Rhinolophus ferrumequinum: one gene and its partners. The protein of the gene in region 1 interacts with the protein of each later gene in a pairwise test. Links are inferred from orthologs where the notes say so. Each region holds a gene or a part of one and is shown on either strand. Other genes may lie near its edges.

The links.
Region 2: the proteins of FIP1L1 (region 1) and CPSF4 interact in binary tests that used the Homo sapiens proteins (3 or more experiments, as listed by UniProt). The two-hybrid records come from large-scale screens. The link is inferred for Rhinolophus ferrumequinum from reciprocal best matches to the Homo sapiens genes FIP1L1 and CPSF4.
Region 3: the proteins of FIP1L1 (region 1) and PRMT2 interact in a two-hybrid assay, tested with the Homo sapiens proteins (2 studies listed by BioGRID and IntAct). The link is inferred for Rhinolophus ferrumequinum from reciprocal best matches to the Homo sapiens genes FIP1L1 and PRMT2.

The regions. Positions count from the first base shown.
Region 1 is NC_046288.1:15,958,900-15,967,250, reverse strand, and holds the start of FIP1L1 (pre-mRNA 3'-end-processing factor FIP1), read right to left. Parts: upstream 3,527-8,351; 5' UTR 3,303-3,526; coding exon 3,218-3,302; intron 2,064-3,217; coding exon 2,019-2,063; intron 1,916-2,018; coding exon 1,876-1,915; intron 1-1,875.
Region 2 is NC_046290.1:89,659,859-89,667,898, reverse strand, and holds the start of CPSF4 (cleavage and polyadenylation specificity factor subunit 4), read right to left. Parts: upstream 3,309-8,040; 5' UTR 3,157-3,308; coding exon 3,054-3,156; intron 1,255-3,053; coding exon 1,204-1,254; intron 1-1,203. Other genes in the region: PTCD1 (pentatricopeptide repeat-containing protein 1, mitochondrial), read left to right, coding at 5,564-6,043. UniProt on the Homo sapiens protein: Component of the cleavage and polyadenylation specificity factor (CPSF) complex that play a key role in pre-mRNA 3'-end formation, recognizing the AAUAAA signal sequence and interacting with poly(A) polymerase and other factors to bring about cleavage and poly(A) addition.
Region 3 is NC_046285.1:109,209,964-109,218,357, reverse strand, and holds the start of PRMT2 (protein arginine N-methyltransferase 2), read right to left. Parts: upstream 3,270-8,394; 5' UTR 3,113-3,269; intron 2,007-3,112; exon of another isoform or gene 2,004-2,006; 5' UTR 1,944-2,003; coding exon 1,905-1,943; intron 1-1,904. UniProt on the Homo sapiens protein: Arginine methyltransferase that methylates the guanidino nitrogens of arginyl residues in proteins such as STAT3, FBL, histone H4. Acts as a coactivator (with NCOA2) of the androgen receptor (AR)-mediated transactivation.

The DNA of each region.
Region 1 (8,351 bases):
TCTGTCTAGTAAATTTAATCAAGCTGTATATTGAGGAGTTAAAATTAAAGAATGTTCAATCAAAAAATACGCTTCAATTATACCTTGTTATCAATTAATTTCTTGACCAACTGAAAAACAGGGCCTGAAGAACTATTCATTAATTTCATAACTATAAATTACAAAAATCTTCACTTTGGGGTTGAGATTAGCATTAGAAACTGGACTGAATAAATTTCAAAACAAAATGATAAAATCAGACAATATAGCAATCAGTTAAAAAAATGTCTTCCAATATAGGAGATATTTTTAAGTGAGGAAGAATACTCTACTAAAGTATTAGGTAAATACCTATTTTTCACTTCTCAATTCTTCCTTCCCTTCACTTGTTTTTTAAGTAACAGCTTTGAGATATAATTCATATGTCACACAATCCACTCATCTGAAGTGTACATCTCAAGGGTTGTTAGTATGTTTACAAAATAGTGCAACCATCACAACTAATTCCAGAACATTTTCATCACCCCAAAAAGAAACCTTGTACGTATTAATATTCACTCCCCATTTTGCCCTGTACCCAGTCCTGGCAAAGACTATCTTCTTTCATGGATTTACCTATTCTGTCCATTTAATACAGAATCATATAATATGTAGTCCTTTGTGACTGGCTTCTTCCACTTGGCATGTTTTCAAGGTTCACCCATGCTGTAATACACGAGTACTTCATTCCTTTTTACTGCCAAATAATATTCCACTGTATAAATATGTCACGCTTTATCTATCCCTTCATTATTTGATGGACACAAGTTATTTCTACTTTTTGGCTATTATGAATAATGCTGCTATGAGCATTCATGTACAGCAGGTGCTCAAATAACATCCTTTCGTTCAACATACTTTTGTTATGTTGATGAGATGCTGTAGGAACATAACTGGCTTATTATCAGTGGTAAAATTGGTCTCCTTTTAGGTAGTTTCACTTAAAATCGCAGAACCTATCAATGAAGTGAGGACTGTACAAGTTTTTGTGTGGGTCTGTTTTCATTTCTCTTAAGGTATTTATCTAGGAGTGGAATTCCTGGATCATATGGTAACTCTCTGTTTAATCTTTTAAGAAACTGCCAGATTTTTGCCAAAACAGCTGCACCATTTTACAATCCCACCATCAGTGTATGAGGGTTCCAATTTTTCCATATCGTCACCAACACCTTTTACTGTCTTTTTTATTACAGCCAAATATTTTAAACCCAAATATTCTTTAAAAGCTGTTTTTTTAACCACCTCTTCCCCATTATGCCACACTAAAGAATCTGGTCAGAGCAATGTTAGCATATCCATGGACTTGTATGTGTGATTTGTTTTGAAATTTAGAATAAGTTTCTGGTTCCCTGTACATGTTTTGTAAACAATATTCATACCTTTCTAGTAATCTAATGAAGGGAATCATTAATTCCAGTTTGAATTTAAATAAATACAAAACATTGAAATTACAACCAAAGTACATTATACCATCAGAAATATTAATAAATTGTGAAAGTAGTAAGAGATTACTTTCAAAAATTTTAACTTAAAAATTTTTTTTGGTATCCTAACGGTTATACTGCATACTCCACTGTTGAGCTCACTTAAGGGTAAAAACTTACTTAATAGTGAAAAGTATTTAAACCCCTACTTCAAAAACTTCGTCCCCTATGCTACTAGCAAATAAACAGACTGGTTTAAGAATAGGTCCTGCAATAGGAATAAACTGCAAAGGATTCATTGTCTTCCAACCTATATTCAAAACGCTGTAATCAAACCAAACCAATGATTGTAATGAAATAATTATGGTAATGTGTTGCTAGAATCACTGTTTCATACAACCTGTGTTAAGTATCAACAAGAAATTTCACTAACCTGGCATTCTCTTCTTCTGGCCTTTCAACTTCATTTTCATCTACCAAAAAGAATACATAAATAAATAAATACAATTAACAAACAAACTACTCTTAAAGAAACCAGTATTATGAAAATCTGAAGTGATCATCACAAGCACTAACCTAGGTCCTTTGCCAAATCACTGTGCACATGCACGTCCCATGGGCCTATAAGCACATCCAAAGTTAGATCACCTTATAATGACTTAACAAGATATGTCTTTCATGAAAAATAAAAATAAAATCAGACTTGACTTCTATAAAAATAAACTTAACAGGTATTCAAGACTTCTAGATCTTTGTAAAAGAAACCCTATACATTTACATTCTAAAGTATTCCTAATGCTAAATCTTTCCACTAAAGATACTTATTTTACAGGTTGATGAAAATCCAAGTTTGTCAGTCACATCATCAAGGAGCTAGCCGCATAGTGGCCAAACGTTTTTCACTACACTATTCTAAAGACAATCAAGAATATACATTTTAGACGAGGAACAAATATTAACTTTCAAATCTAATATCGATTAACAGGCAAGAAGGGACTATGGCTTAATAAAAATTAAACAGATGTCTAAAAAAGTCCCTTTCAAAAAGTACAAGATGCACTAAATTTATTTCGAGAAAAGAAACACGAGATGACAGTGAAAACTATAAACCTAAGGGACACATGGTACTTCTATAGTGTGGTTTAAAGAGCAATCTCTTAAATAAGAAAAACTTCACCTTAATACAGGAGACATTCGGGGTTCTCTTTATGGGCCATAATGTATTCCATCTCTTTCTCTCTCTTTTAATTAATTATTTTTAAAGCACGACTTTCAGACAAGGAGGTACCCTTGCAGGTGCATTCCATACAAACTGACCATCAAGAAACAAGACGTTAGTTTTATGGCATCGACTTTATTTAGCTATTATTACAGAATGATTGTTTCTGAAAAAAGCGACAGGAAGGGCATCCTACAGCCAAGGGGTAAGAAGAGACACAGCGACACTACTCAATCGATATAAAAAACAAGAGGAAAGAGCGCGAAGGCGAGGCGGCCGAGAAGCCCCGGCGGGGAGGCGGGAGAGACTGGAGGCCTGGCCCCGCGACCCCGGTCGGATCCCCGCCGCCACGATTCGGGTGAGTGTTGGGAGCCCTTCGCAGGGCGAGAGGAGGCCGAGGGGGCGGGGAGACGCGCACACCGCGCTCCGCCTGACTTAGGCCGGACGAGAGGCCCCAGACGGCAGCGTGAGAGGCCTGGGACGCCGACCGTTTGTGGGCCAGGAGGGGAGGCCTGAGAGAACCCAGGAGAGAGAGAAAGGACAGGAAGTTCCGTACCGCCATAGAGCCACTCTTCCTCCTCATCCCCTCCGGTCCCGCCGCTCAGCTCCGACACTAGGCGCTCGACCTCGCCGGCCGACATGGCCGCCCCGAGCACAACTTAAAGGCGGCGGTCAACAGACCCCTCCAACCCCTTCCCCAGCCTCGCTGCCCGACGGTGCGAGAGGGGCACGAACCCGCCGGCGACCAAAGAAAGGCTAAAACTCCAATCCACTGGAGGCGGCCACAGCGCCGGAGGCGGCAAAGAAGTCTCCGATATTGACCCGCCTGCGCACGCGCAGCAGCAGACGAGCGGCGCGAGGTCTTTAGGTGAATTCGCTTCCGCAGAGGCGGCCAGCTGGGCCTCTTTGCGCGTGCGCACCGTAGTTGGCCCCGCCCCTATGGAATCCCGCTTAGCCTTTTTAGCGTTGATTTCTCCCTGGTAAACTAGGGTTTCCCTCCCCCAGCCGTTTTCTAATAACCCATATTGCCTTTCCCTGTGAGTACTCCATTGTTCCCTTCTGCCCTTGATGCTTTATTTTCTCAACCATTTTTGCTGTCTTTTAATTTTCTGAAAGGCCTTATTTTATTCTCTACGTGTTGTATCACCCTTGATACAGAATCGTTAACTTCAGTCCCTTTTTTCTCACTAAATAGAGAAGAAATCATAATTCATGGCCATTTTCTTGAAAAATTAATTTTAACAGCAAACAAAAATTTTAACATATAGGTAATGCATTCTCCTTGTTAAAATAAAGCATTATAATTAAGTTCAAAGATCCCCTCATCTACTACGTTCCTTTCTGGAGGCAGCCCTTGTTTTTTTGTGTGTGTGAATCATTCTGAAACTTTTTATACATTTACTTCATGTAGATTGTATTGTTTTTGTGGGAGAAATTGAGGTTAACTAGTCTTAAAGGATACAATACTGTATGTATTCTGCAGATCGCTTTTTTTTTTTAACTCAACAGTGTGTTAAAGATCCTTGTGTGTTAGTACATATGTGTCAAACTATGTCCATTTTTAAGTGCTTCATAATATTCTATAGCATAGCTCTCATAAAATGATGTACAATTGCTTTCAACTTTTCACTTTAACACACAAAAAACCCTACAATGAAGACCTATGTCCATGACTTCTTGCACATTTGTATAATACAAGTGTATATGTCATAAAGTATGTGCAGTTTTTAAGTCAATAGATAATGCCAAATTTTCAGGCCACTTTTGAGAACACATCCTTCAAGAAGATGACACATGATGGGTCAAAACTGGTATTCTCGTTCTCAACTATAACATAGTTGCATGACCTCAGGTAATCAACCTTTCTATGCTTCAGTTTTCTCAGCTATAAAATGGGAAATTTGAATGAGATGATCTCTAAAGTCCCTTTTAGTTATGATGTTTTCAAATAGGACACTCACTTTTCAACGGAAAGAAATCTATTTTAATTACAAAAATCAATATGTTTACATACTCTCTAATCAGTAAATATTGTTTTTTCATTTATTTGGCAATTACTGACATCTGCTGTTTAAGAACTTGGAAAATAAAGACATGAGTAAAACATAGCCCCTACCCTCAAAGAGCTCTGTAGAGAAAGGGTGATAAACAACTAACTCTCCTACAAGGGGAAAAGGAGACTATGATACAATAGAAGCACATACAAAGTATTTACATTCCACCAATATGACACCATTTTGTATTATTTAAACAAATCATATGGTTTTAATCCCCTTTACCTTTTTGTTTTGTTTTGTTTTCTATAATTTTTTTTAATTTTATCGGGGAATATTGGGGAACAGTGTGTTTCTCCAGGGCCCATCAGCTCTAAATCGTTGTCCTTCAATCTAGTTGTGGAGGGCGCAGCTCAGCTCCAAGTCCAGTTGCTGTTTTCAATCTTTAGTTGCAGGGGGCACAGCCCACCATCCCATGTGGGAATTGAACCAGAAACTTTGTTGTTGAGAGCTTCCGCTCTAACCAACTGAGCCATCCGGCTGCTCCAATCCCCCTTACCTTTGAACACTCTTCTACCTGCTATTCCCAGTCTCCCGAATCTGTTTAGGATAATCTCTTGCATCCTTCTGAACTCTGTTGCAACATAATCAACTTCATGAATTCTTTCCTGAATTCCACTTTATCTCCTCCCATATTTTTATTCATTCAATAAATATTTATGGAGGCTCCACAAGTGTCAGGAACTCTTCTAGGCTACATATTAATAGATTCGACAGTGAGTAAGACAAAGTCCTCCTCTCATGAAGCTTTCATTCTGAGGAGACAACCACTAAACATATGTCACGCGGTGATAAGGATTATAAAGAAAAGTAAGCAGAATAGGAAGACCCAGAGTGGGGTAATGAAGAGGGATAGGGTGCAATTTTATATCGTGTCAGGAAAAGGCCACTCTGATAAGGTGATACAAGAGCAGAGGCATGAATGGAAAGAAAAAGTAAGCTGGGTAGATTGCTGGATGAAGTCCTATCAGACAGAGGGAGTATGGAAGCGCAAAGGTTCTGGGACAACAACATACTTAGTGTGTTCGAGGAACCCCAAATGTAGCTGAAGAGGGAGGGAGGAAGAGGCTGTAGATGAGGTCAGAGTTATTGGGGAGCGGGCAGGGCAGAGCTAATCACTCCCTTGTAGACCTTGTGCTGCTTCTATGGAATGTGTCCATCACAACATATAGTAATGATTTGACTACATATCTGTATTCCTAAGACTGTTCATTAGACCAAATCCTCCCTCAAATGGAGCGTTTTTTTAATCACTCTCATTCCTGGTATGGTGCCTAGCACTTAGTAGATCTTCTTGGCCTTTACTCACAATAATGGAGTGAAGGTTTTACATTCTCTTTGGGAGTATCATAAGACAATCACTTACAGTCTTGTCTATTTATCTTTCTGTTTATCATTCCGTGAGTGTATAATGAACTTTGGTGGTTTCATGGGAGAACCAATCACCATTTGCTGAGAAGACTTTTTCTCCTTTCAGCTGCCTGAAATGAGCTCGTATTTCAAGGGATTACTTAAACAGAACTGAAGAATTACTGAATAATAACTGATGCATCAGAATTGCCTTCATGGTGGAGGTAGTATTTGATTTAAGCTTTGAACAGGAGGATTTCCACAAGCAGAGAAGCCCATAAATCACTAATAACCAGTCTTAAAAGGCCTCCTCCTTTCTTGCTTCCAAATTGAATTCCTTGCCTGGATAAACTTCCTTAGCTAAAGGTATCTTTATCTTCCTACTCACCAGGGGAGACTTCAAAGAGAGGTAGCTTGATGATACTGTGTAAAATTATGACCTTATCCAACTACAATACTCCATACATTCTGATTATATTTGTGTCCCATTTTATTTTATTTTTCTGTGATCTGTTGGTTCCTGGCAAAACAACAATAACAACAAAGCAACAGTTTTAATATATCTCTAAGAAATACCAAAAGGGAATGCTTAGCAGATGATTAAAATGATGACAAGAGTTAAAACTCAAATAACAGTGCTATGTTCAGTATCTAGCAGATAGTGAGTACTCATAAATGTGTTTTGAATGAATATGTCATTTAGGCCCAACTATGCTATTTGCTGCAAACTTTAAATATGTTGCTTAAATCTCAATATTATTCAGTTTCCTCATCAGTAAAATGATATATTAATATGACATTTTATATTCACTTCTTGGGAAGATAACAAAGCTAAAATTAGGTTTCAAAAATGTCAAAGCATTAGACCAGTTAGAGGCAAGCAGGTAGTGGGTTATGGTGTAGGCCTTTTGTCCTTTCAACAACCTGAATAACCACACACGTGTAAAGGTTTCCTTCTTCTCTAGATACTTCCATCAGGAATTAAGCCTCAATTATCCATCTTCCTATATATTTTGACATATTTTAACACTAAATTTTATATTGCTTGCTGTTTCTGGAAAATTGTATCATCTCCTCTTATAGCTACACTGTTATGTAAACTGCACACTCCTTAATGATGAAAACATTTTTTTTTCTGTAGTTACCAGATCCTGTTTTACAATGTCAAGCACATAGAAAGTGGTTAGTAAATCCTTATGTTGATGATGCATATGGAGGACTTAGAAATGAGGTGCAGAGAGATATGTTTGGTTTTATGAGGAATGGGAAATAATTGTTGGCTATTTTGAGCACAGAAGTACAAATCACATTTAAATGAAGTATATCTGATTGTCTTAAGCATGTAATTTTAGCAGGACTTAATTTGACTCTGCCATAACATCTGAGAACAAGAAGTGGAAGGAAGGAAATTCTGACACATATTATAAAATGGATGAACCTTTAAGGATATTACGCTAAGTGAAATAAGCCAGTCACAGAGGGACAAATATTGTGTGATTCCACATACACGAGATATCTAGAGTAGTCAATTCATAAAAACAGAAAGTAGAATGATGGTTGCCAGGGGTAGAGGGAGGGAGAAATGGGGAGTTGTTTAATGTACATACTGTAGAGTTTCAGTTTCACAAGATGAAAAAATTCTGGAGATTGGTTGCACAACAATGTGAAAATACTTAACACTGCTGAATTGTACCCTTAAAAATGGTTAAAATGGAATTTTATGTTATGTGTATTTTGTCACAATTAAAAAAAACAAACAGACAAATAAACAAAAACATGGCCCAACTGAACTCTGCACATTTATTCCCCATTCTGTTTCTCTTTTGATTTTCCAAATCTCAGTGACTATCATTTACTAGTCACTGAGGCAGAAAAGTGGGCATTAATCAGAAATTTTCCCTCGCCATCTCTCTGTCAATCCGGTAACCAGGATTTTGAGCTCTATCTCCTTAACATTTATTTAGACACCCCTCATTGTCTATCCCTTTACTGGTATGCTTATCTACTCTGGCCCAAGTATTTGCTGTTACTATTTCCTAACTGTTCTCCCAGCTCAAAATCTTACTGCGTTCAAATTATTGTCTGTGTCCTTAATAGAATATTTTTTTCTAAACTCTAGATATGGACAAATTATTTTCACTCCTAAAAATAATAGTTCCCCCTTGGCTGCTACTACGTAGAATAAGAAATAAGACTAACCCTGATCTAGTCACTTCTTTTCTAGTTTTAGCTCCTATTTCTTCTTGGGTCTCTTCATACAAGACATTCTAGCTAAACTATACTGTT
Region 2 (8,040 bases), on another chromosome or scaffold:
AATTAAAGAAATGCATTGTATACAAACTCGGGGAGGTCTGCCTTCTATAGCCGGACCTGAGCGATCATCCATCCGGATGTGACAGAGCTATATCTGCGAAAGTCATATTTCTAAACAGTGGCCTGGCAGGACTACTGGGAAGGCCTGACTAGAATGAGGCTGTGACTGGAAAAGATCTAGACCCACCCACTGCCAACTTTCTGCAATGGTGGCAACATTCTATATTTATGCTGTCAAGTATGGCAGCCAGTAGCCACACGTGGCTATAAAACACTTAAAATGTGACTAGTGTGATTGAAGAACTGCATTTTTATTTAATTTTAACTAATTTAAATTTTAATAGCCACATGTAACTAGTGGCTACTGTATTAGTTAACAAAGAGACTGGCATATTGCTGGTGTTAAGGACAGATGGTGGCAGGTCAGAAAGGCACAATTACCAAGCAAGGACGTGGCCATGAAACCAGCCCAGGGGCGATGATGTTCCAACTAGACACCAGAGGTCAACCGGGTGGATCCACTTGATAGGTCTATTGCTTCAGTTGTAAATGACTGAGTTATAGAACCCAAACTTGCCAAAATCAGCCATAAAAAAGAAACTTGCTCTAATTCTGTGCTCCCTATTTAAGCTTGTGATTAAAATTGCTTATAGGAAGAAAGATGCCCAGACCTCTACATGGTATGTAAGGTCCTGCCCTGCGAGACTTCTTATGAATTAATGGATAGGTAGTCTGGCTCATGCAGCCTCTGTTGGGCCCTGGTTAGTATGAACGTGACTCCACGAGACACTATCATGGGGTTTTTTGATGAGAGGACACAAAGGACAGTGAGCCCGTGTCGACTCCGTAGAACCAGAAAGGCCTGGATTCAAACACTGGGCTCAATCACTCACTAACTCTGTGACTGTGAGAAAGTGCCTGAGCATCTCAGTACTAGGCGCTTCTGTTCATGTCATAGGTCAGCTTGTGGCCACAGGGAAAGTGAGATGAGAAGGCCAATTCAGAGCCAGCTTCCATCCTGTGTTTTAGGTTTCAGGCAAAACACTCCATCATGTTCTCATGTACCTAGCCTACCCAAACCACAATTTCATCTAGGGACATTGTCTGCAGAAAGCCATGTAAGCTAGAGACCTGATGGCCTGCAAGTCTGCTAAGGGCTAGGGTGGTGGAAGGAACATCCCCCAGGGAGCCAGGGGTCTCTTACCTTTGCCACAGGCTGCTTTCAAAAAGAATTCGCAGACAGCAGCCCCTGACTCTGTAGAAAGGAGAGAATAGGAGAGGCGTCAATCAAAGCAACGTAGGATTACTACTGGTAACATCTGAAGATGGGGGAGGGAACTGTTCTGGTCTTTAACCCACTAAGGGTTCATGGTATAGGTAACAGACTGGCAAAAAAAATGCAAAGCCAAACCAAGCAAGAAGAAAGTTGCTTATTTCAGTCACTCCCCGTAAAATGAGACATATTGTTGAGAGTAATCATTATTCAGGGCTGAGAGCTTCCTACAATAAAGATGCTTTCAAGGAGTCAAGCGTGTGTGGGGGAAGGAAGGATGGAGCACAAGATCACAGAAATTAATTACACTGTGCTTGGACATTCCAGAGGGCTAATTTAACGTGAGGCAGAAGGAGGGAATGATCTCACAGGAAACACAAGCGAATGTGGACCGAGGACGGACAGGCTCCAGAGAGATGCTATTTGGGCGGGGAGAGCATAATTGAAGATACAGAAGTAGGACTGCTCTTAATATGCAGCAGCAACACACAATTATTAAAGGGGCAGTCTTTTGCTTCCACAGATGCAGCTAGTTCAGATGAGGGGAGCAAGAGAACAGAGGCTGAGTGAGCGCAATGGAAGTCAGTGGGCTCAGGGGACAGGCTGTTCCAATGCGCCCAGGACTACCCCTGCTATCAGAGTAAACCTTCCGGTGTCATAAACAGTTTTCTCTCTCACAGGGCATTTCAGAATTGCTGAAAACCTACAGACAGCATCTCTGAAGGCCACTTCCGTGCCTCTTCTTGCTAACTTGCGAGAGATTCCTTGGTTTCTCGGGAGCAGGCATATTTTGCTGGGAGAGACTTAACGGCTGTGGAACTGGGAGTCCTGGGCTGTCACTCATTTGCATTTCAAAATGTCTCACAAAAAAGAGTTAGGGTTGCTTCCTTCATTCCTTAAAGCCCGAAGTCCCCAGTCCTGGGGACTGGGTGTCAGGCAGACAGAATAAAAGAATATGCCTCCAGGGCAGAACAGACAATTCTTCCCCAAACTAAGAAATGAAGTTCAGGGACAGGGCCTGTGGCCTCCCTGGGCTTTAACACACTGGACTTGATCACTGGCAGGCAGTGCGCTGAGGGCAGCTACCAAGTCTGAGGCCAGTCAGGGCAGCACCCGTGGCTAGTTATGTCCTTGACCCTCCCTAGAAACAGGTCTGTGGGCCCCTCACCACTGCGCCTGCCCTCACAGACTCCAGTATCTGTGGTCCCAGGCTAGAGACAGGTGGGATGGAAAGAGCTGTCCTGCATGGATGGTTCCACAGCCTCAAGCTAGTGCTATCAACAGTGGGGGGAGCGCAGGCAGCTGCCAGGGTATGATGAACGACTCAGAATTGGGGTCCAGAGAAAAAGAGACAGGCTCGCAGGAGTGTGCGTCCTAGGAGAAAGGAGCTTGAGAGTCTAACTGAGGATATCCTACAGAGGAGTTCCTTCCCTCAGCCAGACTCCTCCAGACTCAGCTCTGACGAGAGCAAGAAGAGGGAGCTCGCTCACAGTAGGGGGCTGGAGGGGGGAAGAGAGTTATACGGTATTTTCCTGCAGGCGGGGAGTGTGCGGGGGTGGGGGAAGGATTTTCAACCCAGAGTACCCGCCTTCATTCAAGAATTATTTGAACAGCCAGACTAGGTCTTGCCCTCCTGAAGTTTGTCTTAAACTAGTCCCAGGGGATCAAAGACCCGAGTCCAAGTCCGAGGACCGAGGGGGTGGGGTCATGAGTCCACGGGGTCGGGTCCCAGGTCCGAGTCGGTCGCACCCTTCGCCTGCCCGCCCCGGCCCCACGCTCACTGTCCATGCCGGGGAAGGGGAGCGGCTGCGCCCCGAGCTGCTGCTCCACCGCGATCTCCAAGTCGAACTTGATGTGGTCCACGCTGGCGATGATTTCCTGCATGGCGGCGGCGGCGGCCCCACCGGCCCGGCTCCCCTCAGTACCTCGCCGCTCTCACACCTCTACCTGCCACCCGCCACCGCACACGGTCCTCCTCCGCCTCGCCTCGCCGCCGCCGCCGCCGCCGCCACCGCCGCCGCCGCCCGCGGAATGCCGGGAGCGCCCAGAGCCCGCGCCTGCCTCTCGCCTGTTCAGACCGGACCAATCGAGCGCGGAGTACGGGCCGCTCCGCTAGGCCCTGCCAGCCGCCAGCCAAACCCGCGTCTCACCTCGCGGTCGCGAATAACTTATAGGCGCAGGGAATTCGCAACGTAGACTGCGCCTGCGCGAGGTTTGGCTGGGACTCCGCGCCTCGGAGAGGGGGGCGGGGAAGGGGAGTCAGAAGCACGGAGGGGCGGGTTGGGGACGCGGACCCGGAGTCGGGCGACGCGGCGCGGACATCGGGGCCGTGTTCACTGCCCTGGACTCGGAGTGAGTTCCTATTTGATCCTCACCGGAGCGTGGAACCTGGGCGGGGACAGACCAGAGGGGCAGCGAGTGTCACTGCCGGCGTTGAGCCCGGGGCGTCCCGTGAGGAAACCGAGGTTCTAAAGATCAGTGTGGAGGGGTTGGGTTGGCCTGAGGCTCCAGGAATGTCTGGGGAGGGGCTGGTCCCCCAAGGGAGAACAGCGGCAGCGTATCTCTAATTCAGTGGTTCTTAGCCTAGGGAGATTAATGAACTTGGGTAGGAAAATTACACCTTTATTGTCTCTGTGAAATTGAGCATTTCCTTTCCCGACTAACGAGTAGCGTTAGCAGTGCCCAAAACTCCAAGACGAAGTTGTGATTTCAAGTGGTGATGCGTGTAAAGGATAGTTGGAGATAGAGTATGTGCAACTACTACAAGCTATCATTTCCACTCATTACTACTTTAACAGGATGATAGATAGGATCTTGTTTTAGTGTGTTGAAAAGAAGCTTATATACCTAGTATAGCGTTAAGTTTGTTTTTAAGACATCTGATACCTATCTCGATTTTTTTTTGTTATCTTATGTATTTCATTTAATGCATGTAAACACTTTATTTAATGTGGCTAGTTGAAATTTTAAGATTACATATATGCTACCATTGTTTCTATTGGAGTCTTTCTATTGGAGTCGCAGGCCTCACCAGCCATGGAATGGTGAAGGCCCTCTGCACTAGTGTCTCTAGGGCGCTAGTCAAGAGAGGCCGTCCTTGACCTGGGCTCAAAGCCAGCCCATTTCCACCGCTGGCCAGCCTTGCCCACAGCACTGCTGCAGGGCCCCCAGCATGTCACTCCCTACCTGGGCCTCAGTTATTAGTCTGCCGTCACCTCTGAGGTCTTTCCAGTGGTGATCTGATATAACCAGGCCTTAAAATATTTTCATAATGGTTACTCTGATATTTTTTTATGAAAGAGTTTTAAGTATACAGAGCAGGACCTCTGGCCTAGTACTGTCCAGTAGTAATATAATGTGACCACTATGTAATTTTAAATTTTCAAGTAGCCACATTAAATAAAGTAAAAAAAATTGTGAAATTAATGTTAAATTTTCTTTAGCCCAGTGTATCCAAAATGTTATCATTTCAACATGTAAAATAATTGTGTGTGTGTTTTACATTGATTTTTTTGTGTGCAAAGCCTTTGAAATCTGATGTGTATTTTGTACTTTTAGCATATCTCCAGATTAGCTGTATTCATGTGCTCAGCAGCCACATGTGGCCAGTGGCTACCATATTGGACAGCACAGTTCTAGCCCATTTGTCTACGACTTGCAGAAAAGAAGTGCTTGAGTTAGCTTTCCTGTGCAGAGGCCCAAAATGCCAACAATTTTTTTCCTAATATTAAATGATTAATAGCTGCAATTTTTTGAACACCTATTAACTGTCAGGTATTGTGTTAAAAATATATCATTAGTCCTTATAATCTCGTGCTGAGGCAAGTGGGGTTATCCTTACCTTGCTGCTGAAGAAATTGAGACACAGAGATGTCAAGTAATAGGCATAGACACACAGCTCTGGCTAGGACTCAAACTCAGCTGTGATTTCAGCACCGTGCTCTTTGATCATAGTTTGATAATATCCGTAGCTTATGTCTGTTGAGTGCCTAATGTGCCAGCACTGTGCTGCACACTGTATATCTGAGACTTCAATCATTGCTATAGTGTTGTGTGGGTGACATTATAGTTAACCCCAATTTACAGGCAAGGAGACTGAGGCTAGAGCATTGAGTGCCCAGGGACTCATGGATGGTTGTTTGGCAGAACTGAAGTCAGAACATAGGCTTTCTAACCTCAGGGCTCATGCTTATGACCACTTCTCTGTCTTTCTGCCTTTTTTGGACTATGAACCTGAGTTAACTTCAATATTTTTCTGACCTGTGCCAGGCCCTGGAGGTAAAAGCCAGAGATGGACCTTGTGAGACTCTCCCGGCTCTTTTCCAGCCCCCGCCCCATGGGACTGTCTGTCCTGCAATGCCTTGACCCTCTACGAGCCAGGTGGGCAGGAGCTAGGGAGGGGCCTGCTTGGCTGAGGGCCATGGGGCCGACTGGGCCAACATCAGCAGCCTTCAGCAGCTCGCCCTCTCAGTTGCCCCTCAGCCAGGGGAGCCAGAAGAACACGCACAACCGCAGCTCTGACCTGAGCCAGCCCAGCCCCATGGCCAACCAGGAGGAAGAGGAGGAGGAGAGTTTTGGGACCCTTTCCGATAAATACTCTTCTCGGAGAATGTTCCGCAAATCAACGGCCCAGTTGTATAACCTACGGCTCAGGGAACAGAGTGTTAAAGAAGATGAAGAAAACGAACTGGATCCAAAATCATGGCAAGGCCGGAGAAACACCCCTTACTGGTACTTCTTTCAGTGCAAACACCTGATCAAGGAAGGGAAGGTGAGGGAACTTTTGGATTCTGCTGCTCCTGGCTCCTCCATTGACGGTAGCCCAGTACTTTGTGAGGGGCCACTTTGCTTTCTTAATCTCTAAAGGTTGGGATGCTCACGGCTCTTCTCTCCTCTGTCTTTCCTCACCTGGGTGCTGTACCAGGTGACCCGCCAGCCCCCTGGCTTTCAGTGCCCCCCTTCACTGCAGCTCTTGTATTTGTATCTCCAGCCTGGACTTCCCGGGGACTCCCGATCTGTGTATCCAGTTACCTCCTCACCATCTCCCTTCCACTTACCCACATGGACCTGAAATTTTTGTTGCCAACCTTGTTTTCCCTGCACTTTCTTCATCTTACTAATTGGCAACCGCATTATTCCGTCTGCCCAGGCCAAATGCTTTCAGGTTATTCCTAACTCTTCTCTTTCTCTCACCAACTTCAAAATGTTGTCAGTCCTAACACTTCTCACAATCCCACCCCTGAATGCCCGCCCAGGCTTAGCCTGCTCCTTGCCCTCACAGCTGTTATCCTGGTTACTGGGCTCCCCACTGCTCTTGCCACCTTCTGCCTTGATGTCAGCTCACAGCATAGAACTTTCCAGTTAAAGCAGAAAGCAGATAGCATTAACTCTTCTCCAAAATTTCCAGTGTAGTCAGTGATGTTGAAGGTATTCACTTTCTTAAGTATTGATAATGACATTCGTTTGTTTACAATTCTCTTAGAGGTACATGTTGAAGATTTTATGAATGAAATGATGTCTGGAATTTGCTTTAAAAAATTCTGTTTGGAGGAGAAGTGCAGGGTGTAGATGAAACAAGACTGTCTAAATGTTAATAATTGTTGTAGTTAGCTCTTCTCTCTACTTTTGTGTATATTTGAAATTTTCCGTAATGAAAAGTTGAGAAATAAACAAAGAGAAGCCAGAGTCCTCACAATGGCTTATGAAGCCAGCGAGGTCTGCTACCACCACTCTTCAGCCCTCGCTGGCCTCCTCCCCCATGTACTGTGCTGCAGCCACCCCCGTCTCCTCTCTGCTCCCAGGCGTCCTCCTGCCTCAGGGCCTTTGCTCTGGCCATACCGTCAGATAGCAAAGGGGCTTCTTCCCTCACCTCCTTCACATCTTTGGTCACCTGTCACCCTGTGGATGAGGCCCTGCTTGGCTGGCATATCTAACCCTGAATCTCCTATACCCTTCTGGCACTTACTGCTTCATTGTTGTTCATAGCACATTCCACATACTATGTATTTTTCTTGGTCATCTCATTTGATGTCTGTCTTTCCGCACCAGAGGATAAGCTGCTTGAGGGAGCTCCATCTTGTTCTCAGCTATAGCCTCAGCAGATAGATCTTGCCTGGCACATAGTAGGACTCAGTAACTACTGGTTGAATGCATGGATGAAAAAAAACAAAGGAGTGAAGCCGGGATTTGAAGGGGGATGGTTTAGGGGTGGGGATGGGGCAAAGACAGCCGTGGGCCAAGGGGGTTTGCAGTTGGAGGAAGCTAGTCGCCCAGAGCTGCCATCTACAGCATCTCAAGAGGCTGTTGCTGTGAATGGCCCCCTGGGGTTGAGCCTGCTCACCACACTGCCCAGAACCCAGCCTCTCGTCCAGCTCAGACCCAGGGGACAGGCCTATGGATGGGGTCACCAAGGAAGCAAGGGAAGCACGGGTCCTGAGATTCACAGAACTAACATTTTCTGAGGACCTACTGAGTGCCAGGCCTGGCTTCACAATAGGCCCACAGAGAGGCAAAGACCTCTTTGGCCCCTGCCCTCAAAGAGTTCACCGTCGGGCTGGAGGGAAGGTAGCCCACAGCAGTGGGGTTGAGAGTTCCCATAGGTGGTGGGAAACGAGTGGGCTTTCCTTCCTGGCTACTACAAAGCTCCCTGCTGCAGCACAGGGACCAGCAGGCTAGTGGCACAGGCCACAGGTGTGTGTGTGGCTCCTGGACAGGCCTGGTCTTGGGCTCAGGGAGGATCCGTCAGTCTCAGCCTCCCTCCCTCTGCTG
Region 3 (8,394 bases), on another chromosome or scaffold:
TAAAGATTAAGGCAGAAATAAGCAAATAAGTGAACAAAGAGAAAATCAACAAAGACAAACTGGTTCTTTGAAAAGATAAAATTAGTAAAACCTTAAAAGAAATGATCAAGGGGAAAAACGAGGTAAAACACAAATTGTGGCCATCAGACATCTCTTCTGTACTGGAGGGTGGTATAACCAGGATGAACACAAATATTATTGAAATACTACTTCAATATTGACTTAATTGACAGTAAGTCGATAAAGAGTCAATTCATGACTCACAAGTAATCAGAAAACTAAAATAACAAGGTACCATTTCTAACCTATCAGATTGACTGAAAAAGTCTGATGCTCTCAAGTGTTAGCAAGCACTGTGGACTATTGGCAGATCTGTGAACTGGTAGACCACTTGGGAGAACGATCGATCATTATCTAGTAAAACTGAAACGATACAATCCCTTCCACCCTGCAATGCCATTACTGGGTATACACCCTAGAGCACATGTGCACAAGGAGACATGTACATGGACGGTCATTGCAGCACTCTTTGGAATAGAAAAAACTGGAAACAATGTAAGTGTCCAACAACAGGGAAATACAGAAAATGTGGTGTATACCCAGTGTACACAGACCTATGTATTAATACATATTGTTCCCATAAGGAACACGCTCTAGGAGCACCCTTTAGGACTGAACCAGCTCCACACACACACCAAGGAAAAATCCCCCAAGTAACATTAGTGCAAAAGGCCAGCTGCAGATGACACACAGAATATGATGCCACTTAAGCGATGCCTAGACCTTATGGTCTAAAAGTATAAAAAATGGTGCAGAGCACAAAGATCAATTCATAATTTTCATAGCGTTTGCCTGTGGAGAAAGAGGAAAAATGGGACTGGGGTTGGGGAATAAATGTTATTTATGGTTTAGTGTGTGTGTGTGTGTGTATTCTGAGGCAAACATGACAAAACATTAACAAATTTTCACTTCTGTATAATATGTACTGGGTATTTCCAATATTATTCTGTAAATGTTCCAATATCTTTTATATTTCTCAAAAGAAAAATGAAACAGCTATGGAATTAAAACATTTTATCATTAATTTTAAGAAAGATTAATAAAATGACCCAAATATAAATAAAATTGCTATATATAAAAACTTAAATGAAATTAGATCATTAGAATGAAAAGAAGAAATGTTAAAATTAACATCACAGACATGGAAAGGTTTAATTAAAAAAAAAAAATGTGGGCCAGCACGGTGGCTCAGGCGGTTGGAGCTCCGTGCTCCTAACTCTGAAGGCTGCCGGTTCGATTCCCACATAGGCCAGTGGGCTCTTAACCACAAGGTTGCCAGTTCAATTCCTCGAGTCCCGCAAGGAATGGTGGGCTGCGCCCACTGCAACTAGCAACGACAATTGGACATGGAGCTGAGCTGCGCCCTCCACAACTAAGACTGAAAGGACAACAACTTGACTTGGAAAAAAGTCCTGGAAGTACACACTGTTCCCCAATAAAGTCCTGTACCCCTTCCCCAATAAAAAAAATTAAAAATCTTAAAAAAAAAAAAAGTTACTTGAGTATTCCTTTAGTTTTTAATTTTACCTAATCAACAGTCCTTGAAATTTTACTGCTAACTTGAATGAAGTTCTACGTGTCCCAGGCAGAAAAGCAGCATGAATACATAAATCTTTTCTAAGGTGTTCGACCTGCCTTTAATGGATTATGCCTGGAACTTAATTGAACAACTAAGAAAATGTGCTTGCTTAAACAGCACAGGTACCAAAAACGGAACCCTAGATTCCTAGGAAATGCTTACAATGTGGTTGGTGGCCACGTTCATACACCCAACGAAAGTGCCATCACTGTGGATGATCTCAGCTCTGTAATGTTCATGTTCTCACCACCAGAACTGAACTTACCTGCAATTCACTTCCGGGGCAGTCATCTGATGTTGCCATAGTTCTCTTAGGATGTGCCGCATAGCTGCCACTGTTAATGTTTCATTTTCCTCTCCATTTCTGCTTTAAAAGAGAGAATGAGAAAATGCTTCATTACATTGCATAATAATTAAGCTTCTAAGGTCCGTGATAAAGGTCCTCTACCAAATAGAACTCAAATGTGTTATGTGTAATGAATGGAACAGAAATAAAATTTATAAACCCAATTCTTTACAAAAACAATGGAAAGCATTTAAAATTTATGAACTTCAAAGAAGTATGTGTTTTCTTCACTAGTCTGCAAGGTGTTACTCTTAATCACTGGCTGAAATCTGTTTTCTGTCAGATCACAGGGTTGATTTAAAACAAATCGATGTCAAATCTTTTCTTGGAACCTTATTAGCTTTAATTCCAATTAAACTTCCCTACCTGGAGCTTTAAAGTGTTTCCACTAACAGGAGCCAAGGTTTGCATCTTCCAGAGGCTTTTCCTTCTCATTCTCAATTCTTATTTTTCCAGTGACAGTGTAATCTGCAGTACGTTTTAAGATGTTTTCTCAATTACATAGCAAGTCTGCTTAAAATGAGTGCTTCTTTTGTAAATCAGGACCTAATACTTAATTTTGTGACATCCGTGGTTACAAATACTAATATACATACGTTGCATTTTCATTGTAAAACTGCACTGGAACCAGGATGGGACAGGGCCGGCCAAGGACTGGGAGGGCCGGGTTGATGGGGCGGGGCCAGAGCGGGGCGGGCCAGGTGAGCGGACCGCAAAGAGACGCAGACTCCGTGCACTGTGGGGGGGAGCGACCCCTGGATCACGAGGGGCAGGTGGCCAACGAGATTGGGGTGAAAGTGGAGAGCGTAAAGGGAGGGGCGGGGCGCTGACGCAGCACCGGGAGTAAGCGGGGAAGGGAGTGTGACATCGGCCTAGGGCGGGCGAGGGTTTGACACGCCTGACAAGAGGGCGCGCCGGGAGGTGGGCGTGCCTGGAGGCGTGGCTGCGGAAGGGCGTGGCTGCGGAAAGGGGCGGGGCGCCGAGCTCGCGGGGAAGACACGGGTGGTCTCGGAAGGGGGCGGAGGCCTCGGTCAGCCCGCTCACGCACACGTCGGGCGAGGCCCTCTCACCTGGCATGTCCTGCCTACGTGCGGTTCAGCCGCCCGAGCTGCCCACGGGAAACCTACCTCAGCCGCGTCTGTCCGCTGAGTTTTGCGCGATCCACACAGTCAGCGCGGAGGGGCGGACGGTGCCTACCACGAGCCGGAGCCACAGCCCTCGGCCCGCGCAGGCGCAGTGCGAGCAGGACGTCAGCGGAGGAGGCCCCACCCCGGGGCCGGGGCCCCGCGCATGCGCATGTTACACAAATTCTTCCAGAAAAGAGACGAGTGAATTACTTCCTAACCGGTTCTATGCAGCCAGCATAAACACTGCTATAAAATGTGAGCAAAAACAATCCAGTGATACATAAAGTGATTACGTATCATGACCAAATATGGTTTATATTACATATTATATATTTATATTTAATCAGTTAAATTTGTTATTTAAAAAAACCTCACAAAGAAAATTCCAGCCCTAAATGATTTCACTGGTGAATTCCATCAAATGTATAAGGAAGAAGTAACACCAACACTAAAATTTTAAGAAAATAGGGGCTGGACACATCCCAGTTTGTTTCATGCGCTCCGCTGTCCGGACAAGTGGAGCTACCGTCCTCCGCCCGCGCGGGCGCGAGGCGCTCAGCTCCTTCGCGAAGAGGCCCGGGCCTGGGGCGAGCGCGCCGCGCGGGCGCGTGTCACTTGTCGCGCCGGTGGCCGTTGCGCTAACCCGGGAGCTGAGCACCGGGAGCAGCGCCGGGCCTGGTGTGTGGGCGGGGCAAGGGGACCCGGCGCCGGGGCTGCTTCCCGACTCTGAGACGGGGAGCGAGGCCAGGGGACAGTTGTCGGAAACCCATTTATGGGCGACAGAAATGGCTGTTTTTGGATCAGGACCCCCTTTCTCGTGTTTTTCTTGTACTTCAGTTACCTCACTGCGCTGTGAGGTGTGAACCATTTGTCATTCTTTCCACTTGACAAACGGAAGCAGAGGGATTACGTTTTTATTTCCCCAAGAGGGCGTTGGGAAAGACGTCAGTGCGCGTTAGCGTGGGCTGGTCTCGGAGGGAGGCGGGCGTCAATATCACCGACGCGGCAGCTTGGTGGCGGCGGGGCTGGGGAGAGAGGAGATACTGGTAACTGGAAAGGGCTTGTTTCACAGGATGGAAACGGTTGGACCACAGGGCCAGTGTATTTACTGCACGGAACTCTGTCTACACTTACAAATGGTTAAGGTGGTAAATTTTAGCTTACGGGTCTTCTACCACAATTTTTTTTAAAAGAAGCAGAAGCACGAAGTACCAATATGAGGAATGAAAAAAGAATTCAGTATAGAGATTCCATAGGTTTTTAAAAGACAAACATTACGAAACTTGACAAGTTAGATAAGTTCCACAAATTCCTTGAAAAACACAAATTACCAAAAATGAACAAGAATATTTAGAAAATCTGCATACTATCTGCTAAAGGAATTGACTTCATAATTTAAAACCTTCTTACAAAGAATACTCCAGGCCCAGATGGTGTCACTAGTAAATGGTTCCAAACAAGGAGAAACTAATACCCATGTTACACAAATTCTTCCAGAAAACAGAGAAAAGTGACTTCCTAACCGGTTCTATGCAGCCAATATTAACACTGCTATAAAATGTTAGCAAAAACAATCCAGTGATACATAAAGTGATTACGTATCATGACCAAATATGGTTTATATTATATATTATATATTTATATTTAATCAATTAAATTTGTTATTAAAAAAACCTCACAAAGAAAATTCCAGCCCTAAATGATTTCAATGGTGAATTCCATCAAATGTATAAGGAAGAAGTAACACCAACATTAAAATTTTAAGAAAATAGGGGCTGGACACGTCCCAGTTTGTTAATAAGGCACACATAACTCTAATAAAAATACCTCACAAAAAATAAAGAATAATTAATATTCTTCATAAAAATTGATGCAAAAATCCTTTAGAAAACATTAGGAAATCAAACTTAACAATATATACTGAGGGTGATACATTATGGCCAAGTGGAGTTTATCCCAGTAATGCAAACTTGGACTAACACTTGAAAATTAATACAATTCACCATATTAATAGAATGGGGGAAAATATATAATCATTTCAATAAATTTTAAAAAGGATTTGACAAAATTCAATACCCAATCATTTTAAATCAACAAAAATAGAACATCATCTATCTATTAAAAGGAATCTATCAAAAACCCTAACGCTAAAACCATAATGATGTTATATTGAAACTTTTTATCAGAAACAAAGCAAATGCATCCACTTTCACTTTATTCAACATTTTATAGGCGTTTTGTTCATGGCAAAATTATGCTCAGACACTGACAGTGTCTTTGCCAATAATTTATTTAACATAGGTTCAGTGCAGGAATTACAACTTATAATAATATGTCACAAGCCAATAGCATACAGGATAATATCTCTTAATAAGCCAATAAAGAAATATACTCTAATGATAGATAAGTATATCATTGTTCCAAGCAAAGGGGAGATGAAAGAGATTAAGTCCAGATGTAGCTGAGGTGCACCTCTCTACGAGCTGCTGGTTCTCGGGAGAGCTGGCTCAGCCAATCAAGCGCTGACACCCAGCTGCCAGCGCAAATTGAAAGTCCCTGTTTTTGGAGTGCGATGCTGGTGGAACACAGGCGCCAGTGTTGGCGGGCAGGATGGTCTCCTCCACGGGCCACTGCAGTTTTCACCAGTGCTGGCAGAGAGTAGCCTGGCCATGGCAGGAGCTGGTGCCTCAGAGAGCTACTTAGATGAGCCAAGAGTAGCCTTGCCCAGACTGGACACTCTTGGTACCACAGTTTAAATGTTCATTACATCATAGTCACTCCTCCATGTGTTCATATTAATAAGCACAATAATGCTGATGACATCATCCCGACACAACCCCTCATATAAAGAAATTCACCCTTCGATCAAAATAACTTCACTTAAGGCATAACAAATCATAACAAACCAATACACAGCAACAGGAAATCCTAGCCAGCATACTAGGGCAAGTAGGCAATAAAAAAACCCAACTATCAGAAAGGAAAACATAAACTTATATACTGCTAGAAATTAGGCTTCCAGATTTATACCCCCTTAGCTTTCATTGTCTCTGGTTTGCTTGGTACATTCTTTATTTAAATCTCAGAATAATTAACTCATCCCCACCTCCAGGGTCAGTCTTATTAGAGATGGTTCAATCTCACAGAAGCATTTTTTAAGTCCAGGTGTATGAATCCTTATTAGTTACATAATTTTAAGAATTGATTAGGTTTTGTTGTTGTTCATTTGGTTTAATGTGGTTGAATACTGTGCTGTTCTGGGCCCATAATGGGAGGAAGTTATAAAAATGTGTGATTACAGAGTAAATAAAAAAAATTTGTTCCCATTGAGTAAACCACCAAAGAGGCTCATACAGTGATTTTTAAAACTTTAAACCTGATGTAATTTTATGGCAAATTTCCAAGAGTCCGTGAAAGTGAAAAGCGTTGGTCAGATAGTCTGCAGCAGTCCTACCACAGAGGAAGCCGCGGTTTCCCTTCGTTGGTTCAGTACTTCCTCTCACATTGCACGGAGAGGCAGTTCCCTGGGCAAAAGCCTCATGCATGAAGCCAGCAGGGAAAGGGTGCTCACTGTGCTCCCATGTCCAGCTCCTTCTCAAAACGGAAAAGAAGAAAAAGTGGAAAAACAGAAACAAAAGCCCTGCTGTTTTGAGCTGGGACCTAATACGGCCATGGGTCCAAAGCAAAGCCAGGCAGTTCTGCTCATGCTGGGCTGCCCTTTGGAAGGGAGCAGCGGTCCTGGGACGGCTGCTACAACCAAATGGATTCACAGAACCTGATGTGGCATAAACATAACAACACGCGATACTCCCGCAAAGTTTGCCAAGTTGTACATTAGCCAGTGAGTTCATTCTGTGCTCAGAAAGCGATCTGCCTGTTTTCTTTGTCCACCTTCTGCACCAGGAGTTTACCTGCCAGCTGCAGGTGTTTGGATACACAAGGATAGTCACTTTGATAATAATGACCATTGATCGAGAGCATCGGGCACTGCACACTATACGTACATGCGCACGCGTGCGTGTGTGCGTGCAAAATTTCATTTACTCCTCCAACAGTCCTCAGGGTTCCTCTTTTACAGAGGCTGAGAAAGGTGCAGTCATTTCCCAAGGGTCTCTGGGCAGAGGCAGACTTGAACCCAGCCCCAGGGCTCACCCACGGCCTCCTGCGGTCTGGCAACAGCCTTCTGTAGAACAGGAAAGGCGATTAATTCTCTTCGCCTGGACACTGGCATTTGCTACAACAGAAGCCTTTGTCCCTTCTCCCACGTCCCTTTAGAACACAGGCGTCTTTCTCTCCCTATGGACACGGGTCCCTGTAACCAACCTCGTGAGCAGCTTGGTGGCGGATGGCACTGTCCTTTGTGTGAGAACAACGTTGCTGCCCAAGGCCTTTGCTCCTGGAAACTCAAGCCAGAATGACTCTTCCTGGCCCTGAACAGACTCAGCGAGGCTTGGGTCTGGTTACAGAATTAACTGAGTCGCTGGAGGGAGGGCTGGAGGGAGAAGGGGCCCTAGTGACAGGAGACCTGGCAGGAGCTTTGTTGACCCACCAGCTGCCCGGGTGCAGGAGACACTCCTGCCTGGGAAGTGGGCCCCTTCCCAACCATGACTGAGGCTGGGCCCTGAGGGGCAGCTTGCCCCTCAGCCCGCAGCGCACCCCCTCCCCCCGCCCCATCAGGTCACATGGGCGCTTCTGGCAGTGGGAGCGGCTGTGGCCTAGACACAGAAGGGTCTTGGCCTCTGTCCTCCCCTCCCAGTTGTCCCCAGAGTTTTGCAGACAGAAATGCTGCGCAAGTCTCAGCAGTGCCATGACCACCCACCAAGCACATGGCTCTTGGCTGTAGAGATGGCAAAGCCAGAGGGGTCGTTTCAGTAGACATCTTTCAGCAGACACCATTCTTCCAGCGGTCACACACAGCCAGGTAGAGATTGCTATCCAACAACCAGCCCTTGTTGTTTCTGTCTCCCTAAGTTTTATCATTTGGGCAATAGTACATATTCCTTTTCTAGGGAGGCTATTTACATTTAAAATGTCTTATCACATTGCGTTTTGTGATATAAGAAATATTTATTTGGTCTTCATCCTGGTTCCTGGCACAGAGCTCCCAGAACCCTGTAATTCCCAGGTGATGGGGTGAGAGGAGCCCCTTCCAGCCACACCTGACATTATTCTAATGAGGGGACCTGGGCCCCTTGAGAGCTTAGGGATGGAGCTGGTCGCCAGGGAAACCAGGGAACCAACCAGGGATGAAAGGGCTGGGCCTTTCACCTCACCCCCCACCT